Linked DNA regions of Tamandua tetradactyla. The main gene of each other region encodes a partner of the protein of the gene in region 2 in a complex. Links are inferred from orthologs where the notes say so. Each region holds a gene or a part of one and is shown on either strand. Other genes may lie near its edges.

Evidence for each region. Proteins that work in one complex are often made in the same cells at the same time.
Region 1: CELF1 (region 2) and CALR3 share a complex: the UniProt entries of both Homo sapiens proteins name them as parts of the EIF2 complex. The link is inferred for Tamandua tetradactyla from reciprocal best matches to the Homo sapiens genes CELF1 and CALR3.
Region 3: CELF1 (region 2) and CALR share a complex: the UniProt entries of both Homo sapiens proteins name them as parts of the EIF2 complex. The link is inferred for Tamandua tetradactyla from reciprocal best matches to the Homo sapiens genes CELF1 and CALR.

What each region holds. Positions count from the first base shown.
Region 1 is NC_135337.1:95,052,472-95,059,712, forward strand, and holds the start of CALR3 (calreticulin-3), read right to left. Parts: upstream 3,105-7,241; 5' UTR 3,019-3,104; coding exon 2,928-3,018; intron 2,654-2,927; coding exon 2,552-2,653; intron 405-2,551; coding exon 201-404; intron 1-200. Other genes in the region: C11H19orf44 (uncharacterized protein C19orf44 homolog), read left to right, coding at 3,339-3,361. UniProt on the Homo sapiens protein: During spermatogenesis, may act as a lectin-independent chaperone for specific client proteins such as ADAM3. Required for sperm fertility. CALR3 capacity for calcium-binding may be absent or much lower than that of CALR.
Region 2 is NC_135334.1:124,238,572-124,246,393, forward strand, and holds the start of CELF1 (CUGBP Elav-like family member 1), read right to left. Parts: upstream 3,202-7,822; 5' UTR 3,112-3,201; intron 1-3,111. UniProt on the Homo sapiens protein: RNA-binding protein implicated in the regulation of several post-transcriptional events. Involved in pre-mRNA alternative splicing, mRNA translation and stability.
Region 3 is NC_135337.1:89,723,031-89,730,631, forward strand, and holds the start of CALR (calreticulin), read right to left. Parts: upstream 3,105-7,601; 5' UTR 3,011-3,104; coding exon 2,920-3,010; intron 2,544-2,919; coding exon 2,442-2,543; intron 2,251-2,441; coding exon 2,047-2,250; intron 1,472-2,046; coding exon 1,377-1,471; intron 1,291-1,376; coding exon 1,081-1,290; intron 986-1,080; coding exon 872-985; intron 786-871; coding exon 642-785; intron 127-641; coding exon 34-126; intron 1-33. Other genes in the region: FARSA (phenylalanine--tRNA ligase alpha subunit), read left to right, coding at 6,590-6,736. UniProt on the Homo sapiens protein: Calcium-binding chaperone that promotes folding, oligomeric assembly and quality control in the endoplasmic reticulum (ER) via the calreticulin/calnexin cycle.

The sequences.
Region 1 (7,241 bases), on a different chromosome or scaffold from region 2:
TTTCACAGCACAAGAGAATGGCACAGTTGCCTTCTCATGAAATTAACTAGATTTAATGGTGTTAAAAACCTCAGGTCAGACAGACTGAACCCACCCAACAGACCTCACACCACGTCAGCAAACCGTGGTCTAATGAGGGCCTGGGTGGAAGGGCACCCACCGACAGCGGCCGGGGCTGTGCTGCCCACATGACCACTCACCAAACATGATGTAGTATGGGGACTTCCCGTTCAGGTTCTTCTGGTCCAGGTCTGCAGGGAAGACCTTGAGGTAGCCGCCACCGCAGTCCATCTTCTGCTCGTGCTTCACCGTGTACTGAATGACCAGCGTCTTCCCTTTGTTGCTAAATGGCTTGAAGCGGGCAGAGATGGCGTAGAATCGGCCATTCTGGGTGGTTTGCAGACCTTGAAGCAGAAAGTACTAATGATAGATAGGGAGTGGCATTGTGCCCAGAGAGGCAGGGAAGGTACACGGATGTGGTGCCCCAGACCCCAGAGAGAAACAGTTAGTCCAGTGCGACAGGGAACTCAGACACCACCACCAGCCAGCCCTCTGCTCTCAAGGAACTTCTACTTCACGCCAGGGATGTTTTTCCCCTTCACAGAGCACTGCAGTGTTTTAAGTGACAAACACACTCCAATTCTAAATGACAAGTACACATCTAACTATGGGCCTGAGGTTAATTCGGCCCCTTTCTTCTTCCTGACCATGAGAACATACACCGGAGGCTTGTGTGGTAGCTGGGTGAAAAACAGAACGTTCTATTCCTTTCCTCCAGTTCTCAATCTTCAAACAGCTACTTAAGAAACAGGGGAGCCAATGAGAACATGAAACCCGGGGTGGCTGGTGGGTACTCAAATGCCCACCGCCCTAGGGTAGACCCCTGCAAGCTCTCATCTGTTTTGTTGCACAAATAACCAAGTATGTGCTTTCTAAATTTAGGCATTCACTTCAAAACAAAAACTTCCTTTCTCAGTAGCCACTAGGAACTGTTTCAAATCCCTCTCTTAGACCGGAGCTTGTCAGAATGTGGAGCCATTCTTCCTTCCGTCCACCCCTCCTTGCTCCATGCCCTGCCTTACCCCTATACCTGCCTATGCTGAGAAATCAGAAATGAACTCGGGGTTTTGTCTCGTTATGTCAAAACCTCAGGACTGTGTTCCCCGCACCGGCACCCCTCTTCCCTCTGTTTCTAAGGGAGTCCATAGCCCCAGCCTCTCCCATACTCGCACCACCCAGGCAATTCCCAAGCCAGCTGATTTGCAGCCTTCTCCTGTTGTGCAGCCACCCTCCTCTTGCTCTCTCCACCTCCCATCCCTGTCTGGATAAATTTCACTCATCTTGGGATTCACGGCTTCAATGTCACGGTCCCAGGAGATGACGAGGGAAGGGACCAAATTAACTGGGTATCCCAAGTGCTTTGCCTGTGTCTGACAGCAACAGCCATATGCCGAACAAATGAACACAATGCACAGAATCTCAAAGGCTTCATGTTAGAAAAGGGGGGGGGGGGTGTGAAAAACAGACACAGAAACAACTCAGAGGAGATTACATGGAAACCTCTCTCCCTTGACAAGTTCCATCAAATAACCTGTCAGTTTTCATCCCACCTTTATTTACTACATGGCCTCAACTTTTACCAGCTATTCAGGTCAATGCATACCTTACAAAACAATGCCTATACCACCCAAAGCTAGAGGCTGCCAGAACAGGGCAGCGTTGCAATAACAGGGTGAGACAGTGGTTGAACAGAAGGTGGAGAAGAGGGAAAACTTTTCATCTACAGCACAGGTTGGCAAACTTTCTCTGTAAAGGGTCAGCCAGTAGCCCCTTAGACTCTGTGGGTCAATTCCTGGACTCTGCCTCTATAGTGAGAAAATCAGCCCCAGACATGTAAGCACACGATGTGGCTGTGTTCAGAAAGACTTTACGGGTGCTAAAATTTCATGCATTTCTTTGACCTTCACATGATTTCTGCATGTCACAAAATACCACCCTCCTTTTGATCTTTTCTTCCCCCCGACAATTAAAAAAACATGTGAAAACCACTCTCGGCTCACTGGCTGTACAAAAACAGGTGACAGGCAAGCTGGTTATTGCCGACCTTGGGTGAAAACCACCAGAAATGAGTTTATCCTTGCTGCAGGTGAAAGGGGCCAACTGCGAGAGGGACACAAGGGATGCCTCTCCCGTGGCCACACAGGGGCGAACACCCATCAACTCGAACCCCGAAGAGTTGTGCACTTGACATCACACACGTGGGGCAGCGATTTCTTTCTTTTTTAACGCGGAAAACAAAAAGCGGCAGGGAAGTCCCTCTGTGGGGCCAGACGGGTCCCCATCATCCTAGCTGATGAGTGGTCACGAAACACTAGGATGCTCTTGGGAAAGGAAAGAAGAAACAAAAAAACTGGCAACGAGGACCCTTCCTCCCCGGGCCTCGGTCTTCCTCCCTGTAAAGGGGGTGCAGGCAGGGGTCGGGGCGCCCCCACACCTCGCTCGGAAAGGCTGCCACGGGGGCTTTGGCATTCAGCATGGTTTCTACACTAACCTTTGTCTTTCTCTTTATGACCATAAAACTTTCCCGACGAGAGCCTAAAATGCCCAAATTGGGAATCGTTGGTCGACTGGACCCACCGGTTCCTCCAACGCTCTGCGAGGCGGGAAGGGGGGAAACGACACCGGTCAGGGCCGAGGGGGGCCCCCTCTGGGTAAGGGGGAGGGGGGGAGGAGGAGGGGAGGGGAGGTGGCGGGAGGGGGAAGGGAGGGGGAGGGGGAGGGGCCCTCGAGGCTTCGAAGCTTCGAGACTTCGCGCCCAGGACCCCGCGAAGTCCAGCCCGGGGCCAACGGCGACTCGGCCGCCCGCTGGACAGCTGGTGGCGGGGGAGGGGTCCGCACGCCTCCCCGAGGGGCGTCGCCCCTTTCACCTCCGTCTAGAAACTCCTCCTGGAAGTAGACGGTGGCCAGGACCACGCGCAACACGCACACGGCCCAGAGCGAGACGCGAGTCGCGGCCATAGCCGCTGGGCGGCGCCTCCTCTCGCAACCGCCCCCTCGCTCCCTGCGGCCTCCGCGCCGGGCAGCGGAACTACAACTCCCGACACACCCCGCGATTGTGACCTGTCGCGCCATTGGAACCCCCCCCCGCCCCGCTGTGCACGCCGGACCCGCCCCGGAACTACCAATCCCGTCATCCCCAGCAATTATGACCCGTTGTGCTATTGGCTCCCGGCGCGTGGTGCAGGCCGGGAGATGTAGTCTCTTCCTCCCCGGCGCTGTTGCCTGGGGCAACGGTGTCCTCAGGCCTCTGCGCCCCGCCAAGCGTGTCAGCGACCACCATGGATGGACAGCGAGGACAGAGGTCTGCGGGCCCGGCGGAAGAGCTTTGCTCTCGGGCTTGGGAGAGGGGTGGCGGGGGGAGGGGTGCGCGCTCGGGGGCGGGGCGCGCGGCGGCCGGGCATTTCCCCGTCTAGGGCCCCCCTCCCCCACAGGGAGTGTGGGCTCGTCGCGCCAAAAGCCGGGATGCTCTCAGGGGCGCCAGGGTTTTCAGAGGTCGGTTTATTTCATTTTGAGCAGCTCTGTTGAGAGAATTCCCATACTGTAAAATTCACCTGCTTGAAGTATGCAATTCGGTTGTTTTTTTGGAATCTCGAGAGTTGTGGCGCCACCGCCACAATCCAGCTTGGGAACTTTTTAACATCGCCCCGGAGAGCTCGCCTCTCCCCTGTGCAGCCCCCACTCCCACCCCCGCCCCTGCACACCGCAGATCTGCTTTCTCTCTGTGGACCCTCCTGTTCTGGGCGTTGCGTGTTCGCGGAACTGGGCGGTGTGTGATGTTTTGAATCTGGCTCTTTCACTCGGCGTGATGTGTTTGCGGCTCATTCACGAGGTGGCGTGTCAGTGTCCATGTTTATTCCGGAGTGATACTCCATCGCCAATGGACCACGGCCTGCCGTCCTTTCCTCAGCTGACAGACACGTTTGGGTGGTTTCCCTGCTCCCTTTAGGAACATTGGCATGCAGGTACTGGGTGGCTGGAAGCTTTCATGTCTCTCCTGCAGAACTGCCGGGTCCTGTGGTATCCCCATGTTTAACTTTTTGAGGAACTGCTAGACTTCCAAAGCGGGGACTCCCCGGTTTACCTTCCCCTCCCCCCGCAGCCGCATGGGAGGTCCAGTTTTCCCACGTCCGGGTCAGCAGGGACTGTCCTCTGTCTTTTCGATTCTAGCCATCTGGGCAGCTGTGCAGTAATATCTCCTTGCAGTTTTTATTAGCTTTCCCTGAGAGCTAGTGAAGTTGACCATCTTTCCATGTGCCCACTGGCCGTTCACGTTATCGTTCTGCTCAGATCTTTTGCTCTGGCTTTATGTTGAAGGCTGGGGGGACTTTATGGAGAACTAGAAGCCCGAAAACCTGGCCTAGATTCTCAGCCTCAGCTACAGGTGTTAATAAAGGTGGATATTGGCACTCTTTCGAGCTGTGTATGTCCAAATCCTGTGCCGGGGCTTGTCTGTCACCACACCCTGCAGCTAAAAGCAACCCCATCTTGCAGGTGCCCTAAGCGTGGCCTAACTTTAAGTGATCATTCCATGGCCCACGCAGAACCTGCTTTAATTCCTTTGCTCCTTATAAAAACCCTGCAGGGGTGATGTGATAGCCACTCCCCCCCCCCCTTTTTTTTGGTTTTTTAATTTGTGCTTATTTTTTTTGTGAAGAATAACATACATACAAAAAAGCACTAAATTTCAAAGCACACAATTATAGAACAGATTTCAGAGTTTGGTATGGGTTACAGTTCCACAATTTCAGGTTTTTCCTTCCAGCTGCTCCAAGACACCAGAGACTGAAAGAAACATCAATATAATGATTCATGAGTCATACTCATTTGTTAAATCCTATCTTCTCTTTTATAACTCCACATTCTCCTTTGATCCTTTTTAATTATTCATTTTTTATTGATATATATTATATACTCATAATCATCCAAAGTGTATAATCAGTGGTTCACAATATCACCATATACTTGAGCATTTATCATCACCGTTGACTTTTTTTGTGTGTGTGAAAAATAGCATATACAAAAAATAAATTTCAAAGCACATTGCAACAATGAGTTGTAGACCAGATTTCAGGGTTTGGATTGTAGACCAGATTTCAGGGTTTGGTATCGGTTACAATTCCACGATTTTAAGCTCTTGTACTTCTAGCTGCTCTAAGATACTGGAGACTAAAAGAAATACGAGCGTAATGATTCACAGTCATACTCATTTGTTAAACCTGACCTCTGTATAACTCCACCTTCACCTTTGATCTTTCCACTCTTCCCTTTTTACGGATGAGGAAAACGGAGACACACAGCAGGTCAGTAACTTCCCGGTATCACTCCGGACTAGGAATTTGCAGATGTTTCTTTAAGGTGTGGTTTTCCATCTACTGAGCACTGCTGCGGGCCAGGCCTGGGCTGGCCTCTCTCGATGCTTAGATGGTTTAAGATGCAAATGAGCAAGCAAACTAGCTCACCCGTCAGAGCAATGGACAGTAAGATAAAAACTTAATAACCATGGTAACCATAATTCATTCTTATACCAAATCTTCAGCTTTAGATTAAAAACTTTTCTTTGCCGAAGTCATTTTTGAGTTCAGCTTCGAAAGGAGTGTTAATGTGAAAACCTTGTGTCTGATGCTCCTTTTATCTACCTCGTCAACAGAAGAGTAGAACATATGGAATAAAAATAAATAATAGGGGGAACAAATGTTAAAATAAATTTAGTTTGAAATGCTAGTGGTAAATGAAAGCAAGGGATAAGGGGTATGGTATGTATAATCTTTTTTTCTCTGTTATCGTTTTATTTCTTTTTCTGTTGTCTTTTTATTTCTTTTTCTAAATCGATGCAAATGTTCTAAGAAATGATGAATATGCAAGTATGTGATGATATTAAGAATTACTGATTATATATGTAGAATGGAATATCTTAATGTTTTGTTTGTTAAATTCTTTTAATTAATAAAAAAAAAAGAAAGGAGTGTTAAATACAGGATTTGCCAGGTTTAGTAAATAATAGTACAGTATACCCTGTTGAATTTGCATTCCCTGCTTAAATAAATTTTTAGTATAAAAATATTTGGAACACACTTATTTTTCAATATAAAAGCTTGTGGGACCCACTCAGACTAAAATGTTCGTGGTTTTTCTGAAATTCAAATTTCACTGAGCATCCTTTGTTGAAGCTGGAAACCCTAAAAATATCATTTTCCAAGTGAACAGAAAAGGAAAGGGGTTCCAGGTTTCATGGCTTTTTTTTTTTCCCTCTCTCGGTACGAGTGACACTTGCCTGAGCCAACACATTTATTTAACAGCTGCATGGCGTTCATTTGCTGAGGGTCTCTGCGCTCTGGCAACTCTTACTGACGGTTGGGTTTTTGGCGAGTACATACACAGCTGCCTTGAATCTCCTTGAACACACTGTTCAAGAGAAAACTCTGCACTTTTGAGAGTATAAGTGGAGGTAAATTCCTAGACATGGAACTGCTGGGCGAACGGGTCTGTGCCTTGCACATTTTGGTGGCGTTTTTCTCCATTCCCCACGAAAGGGACTGCAGCAGACCCATACCCAGGCACGCTGTCATCGGCCTCCTCTTGAGTCTGTAGAGCTTTTGGGACTCTTCAGCTGCCTCTTGTCCCTCAGAGGCATGTAGGAACTCTGAGAGGCTGACGGAAGTGCTGGGCCCTCTCCCCAGGTCAATGTCACAGTGGGGCTGTCTCGGTCTCGAGGGGCTGCCATCACCAAGGACCCCAAACCAGGAATTTCAAACTATAGAATCTTACCGTTGTCCCCTGTTCTGAAGGCTGGAAGCACAGGCCGCGCCCCCTCTGAAGCCTGGGTGAGGCGCCCTCCTGGCCTCTGCTCCATCCCTTGGCACCCGTCTCCGTGAGGCCATCTTCTGTCCCTTCCTTCTGTCTGTGTGTCCTCATTTCCTCGTCCCATAAGGACGCCAGTCCTGTCGGGGCAGGCCTGCCCTCCTCCAGCTTAGCCTTATCTTGACTAATCCTGTCTTCAGAGACCCTGTTTCCAAATCAGATCCATCGTCGGAACCAGGGGTCAGACTTGGGTGGGTCTTTTTGGACGACACAGTTCACCCCATAATGGGGTGGGGGGAGATGATGTGTTTTTCCATAGGTATCCCATCTCCCCCGTCCCCCTGGGAATGGTTCTCACACTTGAAGGGAAGTCAGATTTTCGG
Region 2 (7,822 bases):
ATTTGAGCAGAGAAGAGCCTATGCTCCTACCTCTTCCAACTTTGCCCTGGCCTCCAGGTGGCAGCTCCTGTCTCCAAGGCACTTCCAGGTACCTTCTAACCTCCCATTTCTTTATTAGGTGCAGACTCATAAGAAAATGAGCTAAAGAAGCTACGGGGGCGGGGGGGGGGGGCGCACATGGGTAGTTCAGTGGTAGAATTCTTACCTGCCACTGGTCTGATACCCCCCCAAGCACTTCCCCTACCCCCCACCCCCACCCCCCAAAATTCAACAAATGGTACTGCAATGATGGGTACTCACATGGAAGAAGAATGAAATGTGACCCCCACCATACAGCATACAAAAAAAAAAAAAGCTACAGAGGCAGTCACAGGAAGGAGCAGCAGATACCAAATCTTTACTTTTAAAATATATATCTCACGCAACAGACATACAATAAATGTTAGGTCTCTGCCCCTTTCCTTCTCTTTCAACCCAGTGTATGTTTAAAAGAAGGACCCCTGTACTTTGCTCCTGTGCTGGGATATCCACTGGCCTACCTCACACATGCTAAAGCTATTAAATACAGGACACCATTTTAAATGTGATTACTAAAACCAAATAATGCCAAAAAAGCTTAAAAATACGTCACACAAAAATGTGGTAGGATAAGGCTATTTTGGTAAGATAGTAAACATTACTATGGCAATAAAAAGGATGGATAAGATAAAAACCAAAGGACTATGGCAGACTTTCTTCTTTTTGAGCTTATTTTTGTAATGAATCTGCAGCTTCTGTAATAACAAAAATAAACAGTTATTTAGAAAAATAAACCATTTCACTGTGTACCTGTTATACTGCAGGCACTCTCATGTTACTGCCCTGAAGCTGAATTACCATCATGTGAGAGAGACACTTATTTTCTCCATTTTGCAGATGACAATAAAACTGAGACCCAGAAAAATTAGACTTGACTAAGGTTATATACCTAATAAGTGATGGAGCAAGGTTGCAGTCCAGGCCTTTTAAGCTCAAGCCATTTTCACTTTTCATTTCTTCACATCACAAAGAGCAAACTGTTATTGTTCATGATATTATGAAGAAAAAGCCTGTGGTGAGACCTTTATTTTTTTCAATGTTTTTTTAATTGAAGAAAACAAGCAATATACTTACACTTAGAACCACCAAAAATGGCTATCTTAGTTAGCTTAACCATAGGCATATTTAAATAAGTATCCATATAATCGTTGTAAAACCTGTGTTTGTGTAGTAAGTTTAAAATTTAAAATTAAGGCAACAAGAAGAAAATCTACAAATTCACATAGCAAGGTTCTCAAATTCTAAGTATTAAACACTAACTTAGATATCATTTGATCAGCTTCGAAACTGTGAATGTTCTCAAAATATAATAGAAAGTTCTTACAAATATCTGCAATGCTATAGTAATGACCTATGTTACTAAATATTTTCCTGATTTCAGGAAAATATGAAATTGAAAATACTTTTACAGTTTACATATGGAATCTTAACCACCTAAAATGGGTATCTTAGCTTATCCACAGGCCTACATGTGGTGAGACTTTTAAGAGCACCTGCTCTGTAACCTTGGATAACTCATATAACTGCTGGGGACTACAGTTTCCTCATCTGATAAGCGAGAGGGCTGGAAAAGATATTCAACTTCTAAAAGCCCCTCCTGCTAAATGATTTTAAGTCTAGGCACTACCTTGAGAGAAGCAAACCCTACAAGAATTAATCGATGGGGAGAAGCTGAGGCTATATCCTGGGCCAAGAGCCATTCTCGATGGGAACAGGTGATGGGAAGTCATGAGGAGCGAACCACTGGAAGAACCATAAACTTCCTAGTTAAAGCAGCAGCTGAAAACATAAGTTTTGCTTTACTAACAGCACTGCTTCAATCTCAGGATCAAAATCCACATAAACAGTAAGTAAAATTAGAAAAACAAATTGGCATGGGGGAAAGACTATTACTGGAGCAATAGTTTATATGTGCTCAGTGGTTTTCCAAGTGGACTCATTAATGGTAAAAATGAAAGCACCCTGGGTGATTCTACAGAGACGCCTTCATCCTTACCAAGGATTTAAGAAGCTGGGACTTGCCTAGCACTCTAAGAGATGCTACCCTTGAGGAAAAGGGCCTACCAACAGTTGTCAAAAATGTGAAAAACGCAATTAAAGCCTCCGCAATCCACAGAGGATCAAAACCAGTGAAAAGACCTTTAAGAGGTGAAATTTCTGTGAAGGATTCACTGGGTGTTTGTAGCCACTTACACTGCAGACGTTATAAAGCCCTCTAATGCTCCTTCAGAACTGTTATTTGGCCTTTTTACTCGCGGGTAATAAACGCACAGAATTACTCTGCTAGCGAGAAGGAGATTCCATTTTGCTGAAACAGGCTCCGACACAATCTCACCACCTTCCCCCCAACCGCGGGGGTGAGCCTACACCAGTGGGGAGCTTCCTAGGGCCTGTGCGATGGTCTTGGAGAATTAAAGCATCGAGCCCGGAGAACCAGGACCAAGGAAGCACCGGCTGCAAAGCCAAAGCCGCATCTCCGGCGAAGCAAGCGCTCCGGGGTGCGAGATTCCAGCCCCGCCGCTAGGCCGGGACTGGGTGGACACCCGACGTGGGGGAGGGCCGGCCAAGGCCCGGCGGACGCGGGGCGCAGAACCGGGGGCTCCCGAGGATCCTGAGAAGGGCGGCGGTCCGGCGGCCCGACCCGGCACCGAGAACACGTGGGGCGAGGGGCGGGGAAGGGGTGTCCGCGCCGGCAGCCCGGGTCCGGCTCGGCGGCCGGGCGGAAGCGGAGATGCCCCTGGGCAAGGAGCGAGGCCCTTTGGCCCCGGACCGGGAGAGAGGAGGCAAAGCCGCGAGCAGCGCGGGTCTCCCGGGACGCGGCGCACGCGCCGGGCAGGCGCGCGGGGCCCGGGCAGCCGAGGACCCCCACACGAGGAAGGAGATGGCAAACCAGGCCCGGGGGCGCGGGGGACGAGCCGCGGCCGCGCGCGGAGGACCCTGTGAACCGGGGCCGCCCGGCCCGGACCCGCCCCGCGGCGCCTCCCTCTCCCTCCCTCCCGCCCGCGGCCCGTTATCCGCGGCCGCTGCACTCACCAGCGGCTGCACCTGAGCCCGCCGCTGCCTCCGCTGCTGCCTGCGCCTCCGCAGCCGCCGCCGCCGCCTCGCTCCTGAGGCCGAGTCCCGTGGGAGCCTCCTCGTCCCGCCGCCGCCGCCGCCGCCGCTGCCGCCAGAGCAGAACACCCCAAAATGGCGGCACTTCCGGCACCTACCACCGGCGGGAGGGCCGGGAGGGGGCGCGAAGGGAATGTACCACCGCGGCGCCCGCAGCCCGGCCGGGCCGAGCGCGCAGGGGCGGGCCGGGCGTCGGCGCTGCAGCGCCCCCTCGGGCGGGGGCGGGGGGCCGCAGCGACGCGGGCGTTGGGCGGCTGGCGGAAGGTCCCGCGGGGAGGACCCGCCGGGGTGCAGCCCTTTGTCTCCGAGCTTGGCTGGGGGCGAGGGAAGACCCCGGCCTGGGGGTCTGGAGCGCGAGATCTGCGGCCTCTGCTGGGCGGCCCGCCCGGCCCCGCGCTGAAGCTGCGCGTGATCCGGCAGCGAGGAATGAATGCGGGAGGGAGCGCTCTCGGCCAGCCCCGGGCACGTGGCCCACTGCCCTTTGCCCAGCGAACAGCGGCCGGATCCAGGCCGGTCCCCTTCGGTGCAGGTGTGTGGAATGTGCGCGGTTGCAGAGTTAATGATGACACCGCGTGCACGCACAGCCTCGCAGAAATGCCTGCAAGGCCAGCGAGCCCAGAAGGGGTCTACCAAGACAAGATTGCCTGGCCCTGAGCAGCTTTTCCCAGATCTTTTTTTTTTTTAACAGCCCAGGTGGGGTTCCTGAAGACTTCCTTCGGAGTGACTCGGAAATCTCAGGGTGTAAGCGGAATGCAAACAATATAACAATTGTTTTAATGTAATTTTATTGAGGTGCATTCACACAGGGTAAAATCCAGCCAAAGTATACAAAGGCTCACGGTATCATCACATAGTTCATCACCGCCTTCAATTTTTTTTTTTAATCATCACATAGTTGTATACTCATCACCATGACCATTTTTAGAACATGTGCATCACTCCAGAAAAATAAATAAAAAGAAAAAATCCCTACGTCCCATACCGCCTACACCTTCCTCTCATTGACCACTAATATTGCAATTACCCAATTTTTTTACCCCTCATCCCCCTATTATTTAATTATTGATTCAAAGTTAAAAAAAAAAAAAAAGCGACATTCTTTATCCCGCAGGTTCCAGAACTTGTGAATCAATGAAATACAGATAGAGAAAAACTTAGTTCTGGGACTTTTTGGCCACACCAACGTGCAAATAACTCATGGGTTTGTAAATTATTTCTCTTACATCATCTGGCTTCCCAGAGCAAATAATTTTCATACCCACAAATACTGATTATAGCCTACTTTACCACAAAAAGCAACAAGTGGGCACCCGAGCAGAAGCCTCCAGGGTTTTCCATGTATTGGAAGGACCTCACTCCACTTCCCCGGGGTGTGTGGGGTGGGGGCAAACCAGCTACAGTTTTTCTGGTCGGTGTACATGGGACAATTAGCCCCTAGTTTGTACACTATCATATTCCCTAATTGAACTGTATCATTTATCATTTTATATCTACATAATCCTGATAGATGAACTTGTTCTTGTTAATGGCTTTATGTGTAATTTACTGAAAGCCTCCTGTATTTATAGACCGTTATAGTTTTATAGCATGCCACATATATTATCGCAATTAATTTTATATTTGTCTCCCAGCTGCCATGGACTGCAGAGACTTTGCCTCATTGTTTTCCGGGCTGTGGTGTCATCCAGACACCCGTAGGGCTCACCTCCTTTACCTTCCCTGACCGCCCTAGTTAAAATTACACGCCCACATCCACCCTTCCAATCCCCTTTCTTGCCTTATTTATGTCCAAAGTACTTATCACCATTTGACATGATGTATCTTGTACTTATAAATTAGCTATTTTGTTTCATTTGTGGTCTCCCCCACCAGAAGGGAAACTCTATGGGGTTGGAGACTTGGTGTTTTATTTCGCCTCCGGGTGTGCAGGACGCCGCGGCAGGAGTGGAGCGCAGCCGGCGGCCCCTGCAAGCGCTGGCCGTGGAAAGGTTGGGAAGCTCTCCACGGCTTCCTTGGGCGCGCCTGTGAGCTGGGTGAGGGCGCGGCCGCGAGTGTCCTCAGGCCCGACACGGCGCCCGCCAGGGCCGCGGGGGGAGGAAGGCAGGGACACGCCCGGGGTCGCCTCCGGCCCGCGCCCGCTCCCGCCCTCCTCGGGCGTCGCGGGAGAGCCCGGCCTTACACCCTGAAGCCGGGAACCCAGGCGGGGCTCCGCCGCCCAGGCAGCCCGCGCGAGAGCGACGGCAGCCCCCGCAGCTGGACGTGGGAGGTGCGGAAGTAGCCGCGCGCCCTGCGGTGTCCGCGCGTCCCGGGAGCCTGGGCCCCGCGCCCCTCGGCAGCGCCCCGCGGCCCCGCGCTGCTTCCCATAGCTGTGCCGCTGCGCCGGGGCGCCCTTGTCGGAGAGGAAATGCCAGTCCTTGCGGGGGCTTCGCTAGGGTCCCTCTCGCATAAGGTACCCGGGAAGCCACAGCCGTGAGCTCAGAGCTGGCAGGGGAAAAACAGTTACGTGGAGAACAAAAACAGGCTCCCATAACTTCAAAGGCTTTCGCCAGCACAGGCCAAATACCAAACAGCTTAATGATCAAAAAAAGCCTGATGTGACATTAAAAAGAGAATGTAAAGCTCTGTTTCATTTTTCGCTTTCCCAATCGATAAAGATTTGTTCTGCCCAAGTGCTGGTACAAGTAACACTCACATCATCTTTCTGGAGAATTAGAAATTTTGTGCACTTTTCCAGAATGTATCCTAAGGAAATAGTCGCGGGTAAGTACAGAGCCGTAACATTATTTCAAAAGCACAAAATTGGATAGACAAGGAGATTGAGCAAATAAATCATGATATAATCACAGCCTAAGATATTATACGTAATTTCAAATAATGATAAAATATCTATGTGAGAAAATCTTCAGGATACATGACTCGTGAAAAAAGCGGGTAACAATAAGTACAATATGAATCCAATCTGTAATAAAACACATTTAAATCCTTGATCCTGCTCTAATGTTTGTGTATGGGGTCCGATCTGTCTTTTCTTTTTCTTCTTTTTCCATGTGGATATCCAGTTGATTCAGCACCGTTTGCAAAGACCATCTTTTCTCTACTGTGACTTGCTGTTTTTTAATTCTCATGCATTGTCGTTGAGAATGAGAATTGATATAACCTCTTTGGAAGACTGTTTGACAGCATTTAGCTATTTTGCTAAAGCTAAATAGCTCAATAAACTCTTACCTTATGATGCAATTCTACTCACAGCAGAATATTTATTTTTACCAAAAGAATGGGGTAGCAGCATTTTAATAACAGCCCACATTGGAAAAAAGGACTAAATTACTGAATATTCTAATAATGGAATATTTATGTCAGTGAAAAGGATCACACTGTTGTTCCTACACCCCCTGGGATGAATTGCACAGTCACAAACATTGAGCAAGGCAAGCCCAAAACAAAAAAGCATGTATGACATGTGGAAGTCAGGTTCATGTGTCACCTTTGCCAGGTGATGGTGACCAGTTGTCTGGTCTCAGGCAAGCGCTGGCTTGACTGTTACTATGAGGACATTTCCTGAACTTGACTCATCAGTGAGTGAATTACATTTATGGTGATTGCATCTGCAGTCAGCTACGAGTGCTGTCTTCCCAATGACAGACATTTAATCCTGTCAGTTGTAAGTTTTTCAGGGAGAGGTGATAAATTCAGCAGTCAGAAGAGAGAACTTTTTGTCTCTACTATAGCCAGCCAGCCTCTCCTGGGGAATCCTACGGAATTTGGACTGGTATATCCCCGTAGTTGTGGGAGACATTTCTGTAAGATCTCATATTTACACATATTTCCTATTGGTTCTGTTTCCTACGAGAACCCTGACTACTACAGCTTGGTACCGAGAGCGGGGTAGTTCTTGAGAAACAGAATCTTAACAATGGGGTTTTGCAATTGGTTTTCTAGTTTGATTAGATTCAAAGGCACTGATGAGTCTATTTCCAATAATCAAGGTGGCACTGACAGTCCATGGCGCGGGGTGGCAATACAGATACGATATGCAAAACATCTCCATTTGTTTCTGCTAATCATTCGCTTATATGAGGCAAGACTCTGGGTGACAGTGTTTTTGACACCTTAACAGTTTGTGGAGTTATAATGATGTTGACTGGCTGGTCCTAGATAGGCTGGATACAATTAGAAAGGGATGAACCGAAGGCTTCAAATTTGCAGCTTAAGTGCCATATGAAAGATGTTAAGTTTCTACGTGTGCCCTGAAAGAACATCTTGTTTCCTTTGGTCGCAGACTTGAGATCTCTGAAAACCAGACTCAAAAGTCTCCTTGTGCAAGCAGATTTACAATGCAAACCAAATTCTCAACCTTGCAGGGTGTCTGCTGTGAAAGTGAGGGCATTAATTGGAACAGGATGGGCTGCTGACACTTGGGCCGGGGACACATGGGTTGACAACGATGGCAGTGGGGACACTGAAACCCTGGATTCTGGTGAGTCCCTGCTAGATAAACCTGTAATGGACTGCCCTGAGGAAGGAGCCACCCAGCCTCCAGCCTGCCCTAAGGAAACAGCTTGCTGACTTCCAGTCTGCCACCCAACCTCCACCAGAAGAGATTAACCCTTTACTGCCTGCTAACCCTGTAATC
Region 3 (7,601 bases), on a different chromosome or scaffold from region 2:
CCTCAAACCTGGGTAGGGGGAGCCCGATCCTACCTTCGTGACACCCCACGTCTCGTTGCCGAACTCCTCGGCGTACGCCTCATCGTTGGTGATAAGGAAGTTATCAAAGATGGTGCCAGACTTGACCTGGGGGTGAATGGAGTGAGGAGTGGGTTACCCAAGACGGCCCTGGCCTTGGGAAAACTCCCACCCGCGGTGCTCCTGTAACCACTAGATGCCGCCGCATCTCTGCAGCAGTCAAGAAGCACCTCATGGACCAAGCAGCACAGCTAAAGTTGCAGTTAAAAAATGGGGGCTGCGAGACCCACAAGGGGTGGGTTCCAATCCAGCTCTGCCCCTTCCCGCCTGTATGGCCTTAGGCTGGCGACTTCAAATTTCTGCCACTGCTAGCAAAGCAAAGTTTTCTAACAGGGCTGCTTGACCACCCCCGAGATTGGTGGAGGGAATGACAGGTACTCAGGGAGAGCCCTGGCACTCAATAAGTGCCTTTAGGACTGTAAAGGTTCAGGAAGGGCCTCACAGCAACAGGGCTCTCAAAGCATTTTCCAGTCGGGCCTGCCTGGGTCTGAATCCTACCCTGTCCCTTCCCTCGCAGGTGACCTGAGGTGCCCCCAGGATCCTCCTCCCACTCTGGGTCGCACCTGCCACAGGTCCAGGCCCAGCACAGCGAAGCTGTCGTAGGAGTAGATGTTGGCGTCAGGGGAGTACTCAGGGTTGTCGATCTCTGGGTGGATCCACTTGCCTTTGTAATCTGGGTTGTCGATCTGTCGGGGCTTCCACTCGCCCTGGGGAAGAAGAGAATGGCATGGTGAACAGAGGCCGGTGCCCTCCCCACCCTGTACCCCAGCCCTTACTTGGAACCCAAGCTCACCTTGTACTCAGGGTTCTGAATCACTGGCGGTTCCCACTCTCCATCCATCTCTTCGTCCCAGTCCTCAGGCTTCTTTGCATCAGGGTCGGGGATGTGCTCAGGCTTATCCCAATCCTAGGGGGGGAGAGTCGGGGAACCACGAGGACATCAGAGTGAGCCCACATGTCCACCACCCCTTTCACAGTGGTGGTCCCTGTCCAGGCACCAACCTCGGGCTTGGAGTCTGTGGGGTCATCAATCTTGGCCCGCTCATCCCAGTCATCTGGCTTGGCGGCATCGGGATCTTTAATCTTCTTGGGGGGCAGGAAATCCCAGTCCTCCTCCAGGGAGCCCGACTCCACCTGGCTGTTGTCGATCTTTACCTCGTACGTGTTGTCGGGCCGCACGATGAGTGTGTACAGGTGTGTGAACTCATCATCCTGAGGAGGGTGGGAGGTGAGCAGTCCCGCCCTCCCGGATTCCTGCCCTTCCCCCCACCAACCCCCACCCCACCCCTCAGACACACCTTGCAACGGATGTCCTTGTTGATCAGCACGTTCTTGCCCTTGTAGTTGAAAATGACATGAACCTTCTTGGTGCCGGGACCACAGATGTCGGGTCCTAGGTGGGAAGCAGGTGTGGTCAGAAGCCAGAAGCTGCCCACCACTGCAAGCCCTCAATTCCTCTTTACGAAAAGGAAACTTGTTTCTTAAAAATGCAGCGGTCTAGGGCGGGCCGCGGTGGCTCAGCGGGCAAAGTGCTTGCCTGCTATGCCGGAGGACCTCGGTTCGATTCCCGGCCCCAGCCCATGTAACAAAAACGGAGAAACAGAATACAATAAAACAAGAAAATGTTTAAAAATGTTTCCCTTTCTTCCTTCCTTCCTTCCTTCTCTCTGTCTTTCCTTTAAAAAAAAAAAAAAAAAAATGCAGCGGTCTAAAAATTCCTGTAACCAAGTATCTACACTTATAAAACCAAGAGAAAAGCACATGGGATCACACCTGTCTGCAAACCAGCAATGAAAATTTTAAAGTTGCTGTACTATAACTCCCCCCTCGGCAACCCTTCTAAAAGTTTGATTTTTTAAACTCGTTCTGTGCTGTCAGAACCACCTCTCACTACCTAAGGAAACCGTTGGGTCTCAGTCTCCCTTTGACGAAGGGGATAGATGTCAAGCACCAGAGCGGGCCCCTCACCGAACATGATGTTGTACTCCGAGTCGCCATGCATGTCCGTCTGGTCCAGACTGTCAGGAAACAACTTCACGTAACCGCCACCGCAGTCAATGTTCTGCTCGTGCTTCACAGTAAACTGCACCACCAGTGTCTGGGCCTTGTTACTGAAGGGCTCGAACCGAGTGGACAGGGCATAAAAGCGGGCATCCTGACTGGTCTGCAGCCCTGGTAAAACACAGCGATGGGGTCATGCCTTAGCCCCTACCCCAAAAACCCTATGCCCCGAGGACAACTGACCCCAACCCTCACTCCTTCCCTCTGTCCTGTTTCTGGGGATGCCTGAGCTCTGTGAGGCAACCAGCTTTCATTAGGCAGCCCCCCCCATTGGATTCGGGGATCTATCCGCCAGCTCTTACCTTTATCTTTCTCCTGGTCGCCGTAGAACTTGCCAGAACTGAGAACGAATTTGCCAAAATCCGATTTGTGTTTGGATTCGATCCAGCGGTCCTTCCACCCATCTGGGGGGGTGCAGAGGAGCAAGTCAAGGGAACCGTGCTAAGCCACCCCACCCCCACTCCCAATAGTTGAGCGAGACCAAGAACTGGTTTCGGGTCCTCCTCCGATCCCGCCCTCCACTCAACCTCTAGGTTTGACACCTCAGGTAACTTAACGCGATTCTGGGGCGAAACCCGGCTGTGGGAGGCCGCTGCGACCTCCACGCTCCCCAGAGAGGCAGGAGGAGGGACCGCCCGCGGCTCCGGTCCCCGGGGGCCACCGTGTTGGCCCTCTCAGAGATAATTACAGGCGACAGCGCAGATCCGGAGGCTGGGGGACGGGGGGGGGGGGGGACCCTGCCGCGTCGTCGGGGCGGCCTCGGGCGGGACCAGGCGTTACCTGCGTCCAGAAACTGCTCCTTGAAGTAGACGGTAGGCTCGGCTGCGGCCAGGCCGAGGAGGCCGAGCAGCAACGGGACCGATAGCAGCATGGCGAGCCGAGGGGGCGGCGGCGGCGGCGGCGGCGGCGCACAGTCCCTTTAAGTAGCACGTCCGGCAGCCGTTCTGCAGCGGGGACGGACGCCGCGGCCGGCCGCCGGCTTTTATACCCGCCCGCCCCTCAAGCCAACCTGGTCCGGACCCCCGTGCCTTCTCATTGGTCCGTGCCCACGGACGTCTCTTTTCATTGGACCCTTGTCGGCCCAGCAGGTTCGGCTGTGCCTCGGAACGAAGGGTTCCCAGATGGCCGATTTCTATTGGCCGCGCTACCGGCCAATGAAGGCCCACCACGCGTTGCGGGGGACGCCCACCGGTGGGGTGGGGGCCGCGAGCCCGCCGGGCCGGGTCATGTGACCAACCCTCTTCCCCGCGCCGCCGTAACTCTCGCGCGTTTCTTGTTCTCTGGCGTTTAAAGAGCCTGCGCGGGGAGCAGTGTTACCTCACCTCCTGCCTCGGCCCCTGCCTCGCTCCTTACCCAGCCTCGCTGCCCGGAGAGGTTGTCGCAGCTTCCTAGCAACATTCCGCCCTGCGTTTGGGGAAGCCCACCCTGAAGCTTTTTCTATGTTCTCCACCCTGCCCCGTTCCCACATGGAGCAGAGGGCGGCAGGCAGAGCTCAGGTGCTGAGGTCCTGGGGCTCCCCTGCGCCCCGGTGCCGAGGAGACAGCCATGCCGTTCAGCAGGGACGGTGTCCGCGCCCTCTTCCTCGCCCGCCCAGGCGCCCTGGTACATGTCACCTCGCCCGCCCATGCCTGCTACTGCGTGCCCTGGGGCATGTCACCTAGCCCCTCTGAAGTGACAGGAACTCCTGAGAGACCGGGAAGGACGCCCTGGCCAGCTACTGCCCAGCAGAAATGCTTTAAAAGCCTTTAGAGAGGTCTTGGAACTGAAAGGAGGAAGCCCAGAAAGCTGGAAGATGTGGCTTGAGGCTCCGAGGGTGGGTGGGTGGGGTCTCTTTACTCCCCACTCAGCTTGTCAATGAAAGGGGTCGCTGTCTTGTGGTTTCCCACAAACGGCCTGGCTTTTGCAATTAAACGGCTAAGGGCAGGAGGGTAGGGGGTTCCGTTGGGGAAGAAAAGAAATAAACAGATGGTGGGGAAGATAAGGTCCAAGGGAGGTGCGTAGGACCCATGGGTCTAAAGTCTTCCCAGGAAGCTAGGGACACAGGACTGACACCAATTCCCTGCCCCCAGGCTGCATGGAGGAGGAAGGCAGGAGGGCTAGGGGTTTTCCAAGCTCTGAAGCAAACTGGCTCAGGAACTGGGAAGGTGGAAGCGGACTGGGGAAAGGGGGGAATTCTGGGAAAAGGGCAAAGGGGGTGCTTACCCTCTAGTGGTGGGGACCCTGGAAGGGGAGGAATGAGGAGCCTTGGAGAAGTTGGGGTCCTGCCCCTACCCCCGGGGCAGTATCCACCATTACCTAACCTGAACCCCCCCTCCAGAGAAAGCAGAAATCCAGGTGACCATACCAGGCCTGCCACTGATCCCCACCCCGCCCCCTTCTCTCCTGTTCTCGGTGTCCTGGGCAGAAAATGGGCTGTCATTCATCTCACTGTCCCTTGTCTCCTGCAACACCTGCTGCAGAGCAGACTTAAAAAAATACTTCCTGCATGAAGAAAGGAGGGGTGGCTGCATCAAAGAAACACTAGAAGAATTACTGTAGGAATTAAATAAACCCAAACCAAGAAAGTGCTTCAAAGCTGAAGTGAAAGGGACATTGGGGGACGTCTCTTGAATTTGTCTTAAGACCTCACTGTAGCCTTTAGAGGCAGATAGAACCCAGATTGGGGGATGTTTGTAACCTCACTTTATAGATTCAAACAATAATTGCAATGGTTAAATGAGCCAGTGCATCCTATAAGCACATGGCTCAGATGAGTGCTGCATTCTATAAGCACACGGCTGAGAAAAGTGCCTGACACACAATGTCCACAGTCCACTGGTATTAGCAATTACTGCATACTTGTGTGAGAATAGTTCATGTAACTCTGACAACAACCAAGGCTCATATAGTCTCAATCTTGGCAAGAAAATCAAGGCACAGAGAGAGTAAGCGATTTGGGCTAAGTGACATAAATGGCAGATCTCAGATTAGAATTTATATGCACTGCCTAATACAGTTGCCATCAACCACAGGCGACTTCTGGCCATTTGAAATGTGGCTGGTTCCAACTGAGATGAGCTGTCAGTGTAAAATAATCTTCAGATTTCAAAGACTTGGTATAAGGATGTGAAAGTTTTTTCACTATATAAACTTCATTGTTTCATTTTGAAATAATTCCAAATTTACAGGACAGTCACAAAAATAATACAAAACCCCTATGTATGGCCAACATATTGCCCCCTACGCAGATACCCAGATCTTACTATTAACATTTTGCCCTATTTACCACATCATTCTATCATCTATATACCTATCTGTCACCTGTCTGTCTATTCATCTATTTTCTAAACATTTGAGAGTAAATTGTATACATCATATTCCCTGAATATTTAATATTTCCATGTATCTTTTCTTTCATTGTCCCTTTCATCTCTTGTTTTTCTTTCTTTTTAATACTGTGGAAACATGTATACATCATGAACTTCCCCATCTCACCCACTCCCACATGTACAATTTAGTGGGACTAATCACATTCCTAATGTGTGGAAGATATTCTTAATTTCTACATTGAAAAGATAATTTGGACATGGTAGGTCATGTAAAATGTTAAAAATGATTTCACCAGTTTCCTTTTTAAAGCTTCTACTAGAAAACTTGAAATTACATTTGTGTCTCGCTTTATATTTCCGTAGGACAACACTCATCTAGAACCTTATCTGAGGTTGATTCTTGGAGCGGTGGGATGGGGGAGTCTGGAGTGTTCATAATTTCTGGCCCCATCTCACCAACTCACTGCTGAACCTTAGGCAACTGGTACAGAGCACCCTGAGCCTCAGTTTTCTCATCTGTGAAATGGGGATTATATCACTGTTCACACTATAGAGATTTGTAGAGACCTGAAATAAACTCGAAGCATTTAGAATTGCATTGGAACTCGGGATGTAGTTCAGAGGTTAACTGCTACTAACTTGATATTAGACTTGTACCTCCCCTTTCTATAAATGGGGCCAGTACCTACCCAGCCTGCCCTTGAAAATTTAAAAGAAATCGAAACCAGCAGCGTGATCACCTCTCCAGCCCACCTCCCACGGCCCTCCCCAGTGCAAAAAATAATTCCAGAAGGGCACAGGGCACGAGGCCTCCGCAGGGTGAAGTCCAAGGTCAAGCAGCCCGTTGGAGGCACGGCTGATTGACATCTCGAACTAAAGCTGTGCTTCTGACCTTGAGGGCAAGAAATTGACCTGCCTAGTCAACCAGACATCACTATCCGTACTAGGGCGGAGGCGGGGACGGAGTCTCTTCCACCCTTTTGACTATAGTGTGCCACACTCAAGATGACGGCACCCGAGCCTCGCCCTACTTCCACGCCACACTCAAGATGGCGGCACAGCACCCCCCCCCCCCCTCGCGCCGGTTCCGGTTCCGGTGGCTCTGGTGCGCCCCGGCCACGCCGAGTGCCCTGGGAGCAGCCATGGCGGATGGTCCCGTGGCGGAGCAGCTGCTGCGGCGGCTGGAGGCCGCGGATGGCGGCGTGGACAGTGCGGAGCTGGCGCGTGAGCTGGGCTTGGAGCACCAGGCCGTGGTGGGCGCCGTGAAGAGCTTGCAGGCGCTGGGTGAGGTGGGTCGGGCCCGTAATGTCGGTCCTCAGCGCGTTTGCACCTGCCGTGCCCTTGCCAGGAGGGGCCAAGCCTTCAGGTCAGACCTCTCGGAGCTGGTTAGGTCCATTTGTATCTGTGTCTACTCGGGTTTCGCAGCGGGGATCGAATGAATGAGGACACGGGCGCGTTGACCGTTCACTCATGCTACAAACGTACACTGAGGCATGGTCGGCCTCGTGGGTGGGAGGGCGATACGACGGTGGACTAGGAAGTCGCGGTTTCTGCCCTCACGGAGGTTTCGGTCTAATCGGGAGATCCCTACGTGACCAGAGTGACGGGGAAGGCACAGGGAACCCAGAGATGACAACTTTGGGGGTTGGAGAAGACTTCTGGAAGGAGGTGGCAGCTGAGTCGGGTCTGTGCATTGAGGAGAACAGAAGTGCCCGTGGCACTTCAGGGGCTAATGTGTCGGGGAGAGCTGCGGAGTCAGAATTTGCAAGGCCTTGCAGGCCTTTATCTCATAGGGGCACTGGGGAGACTCATGGTTAGATGCGTGAGTTGTCAACTCAGCTTTGGGAAGAGTTGGCAGGGTCTGTACTGGAAGCAAGAGAAGGGATGCACAGGCTATCACATCCCGAAGGTAGAGGGCATACAGCTGGGATGGCAGGGGAAGCACGGATGAATTTCAGCCTTTTGACTTGTGAGAGTAGGAGGTGATGGAGGATATTAAGGGGCCTGTGGGCAGTCCTAGAAGCTGGATTCATGCCACCAGGACTCAGGAGATAGATCTGGATTGTGTATATTTTGTACTTGCATTCATTATCCCCCTTTAGTCTCAGTTTTACTTTTCTTTCAGTCTTTGCAGTAACCCCGGGATGAGAGCCC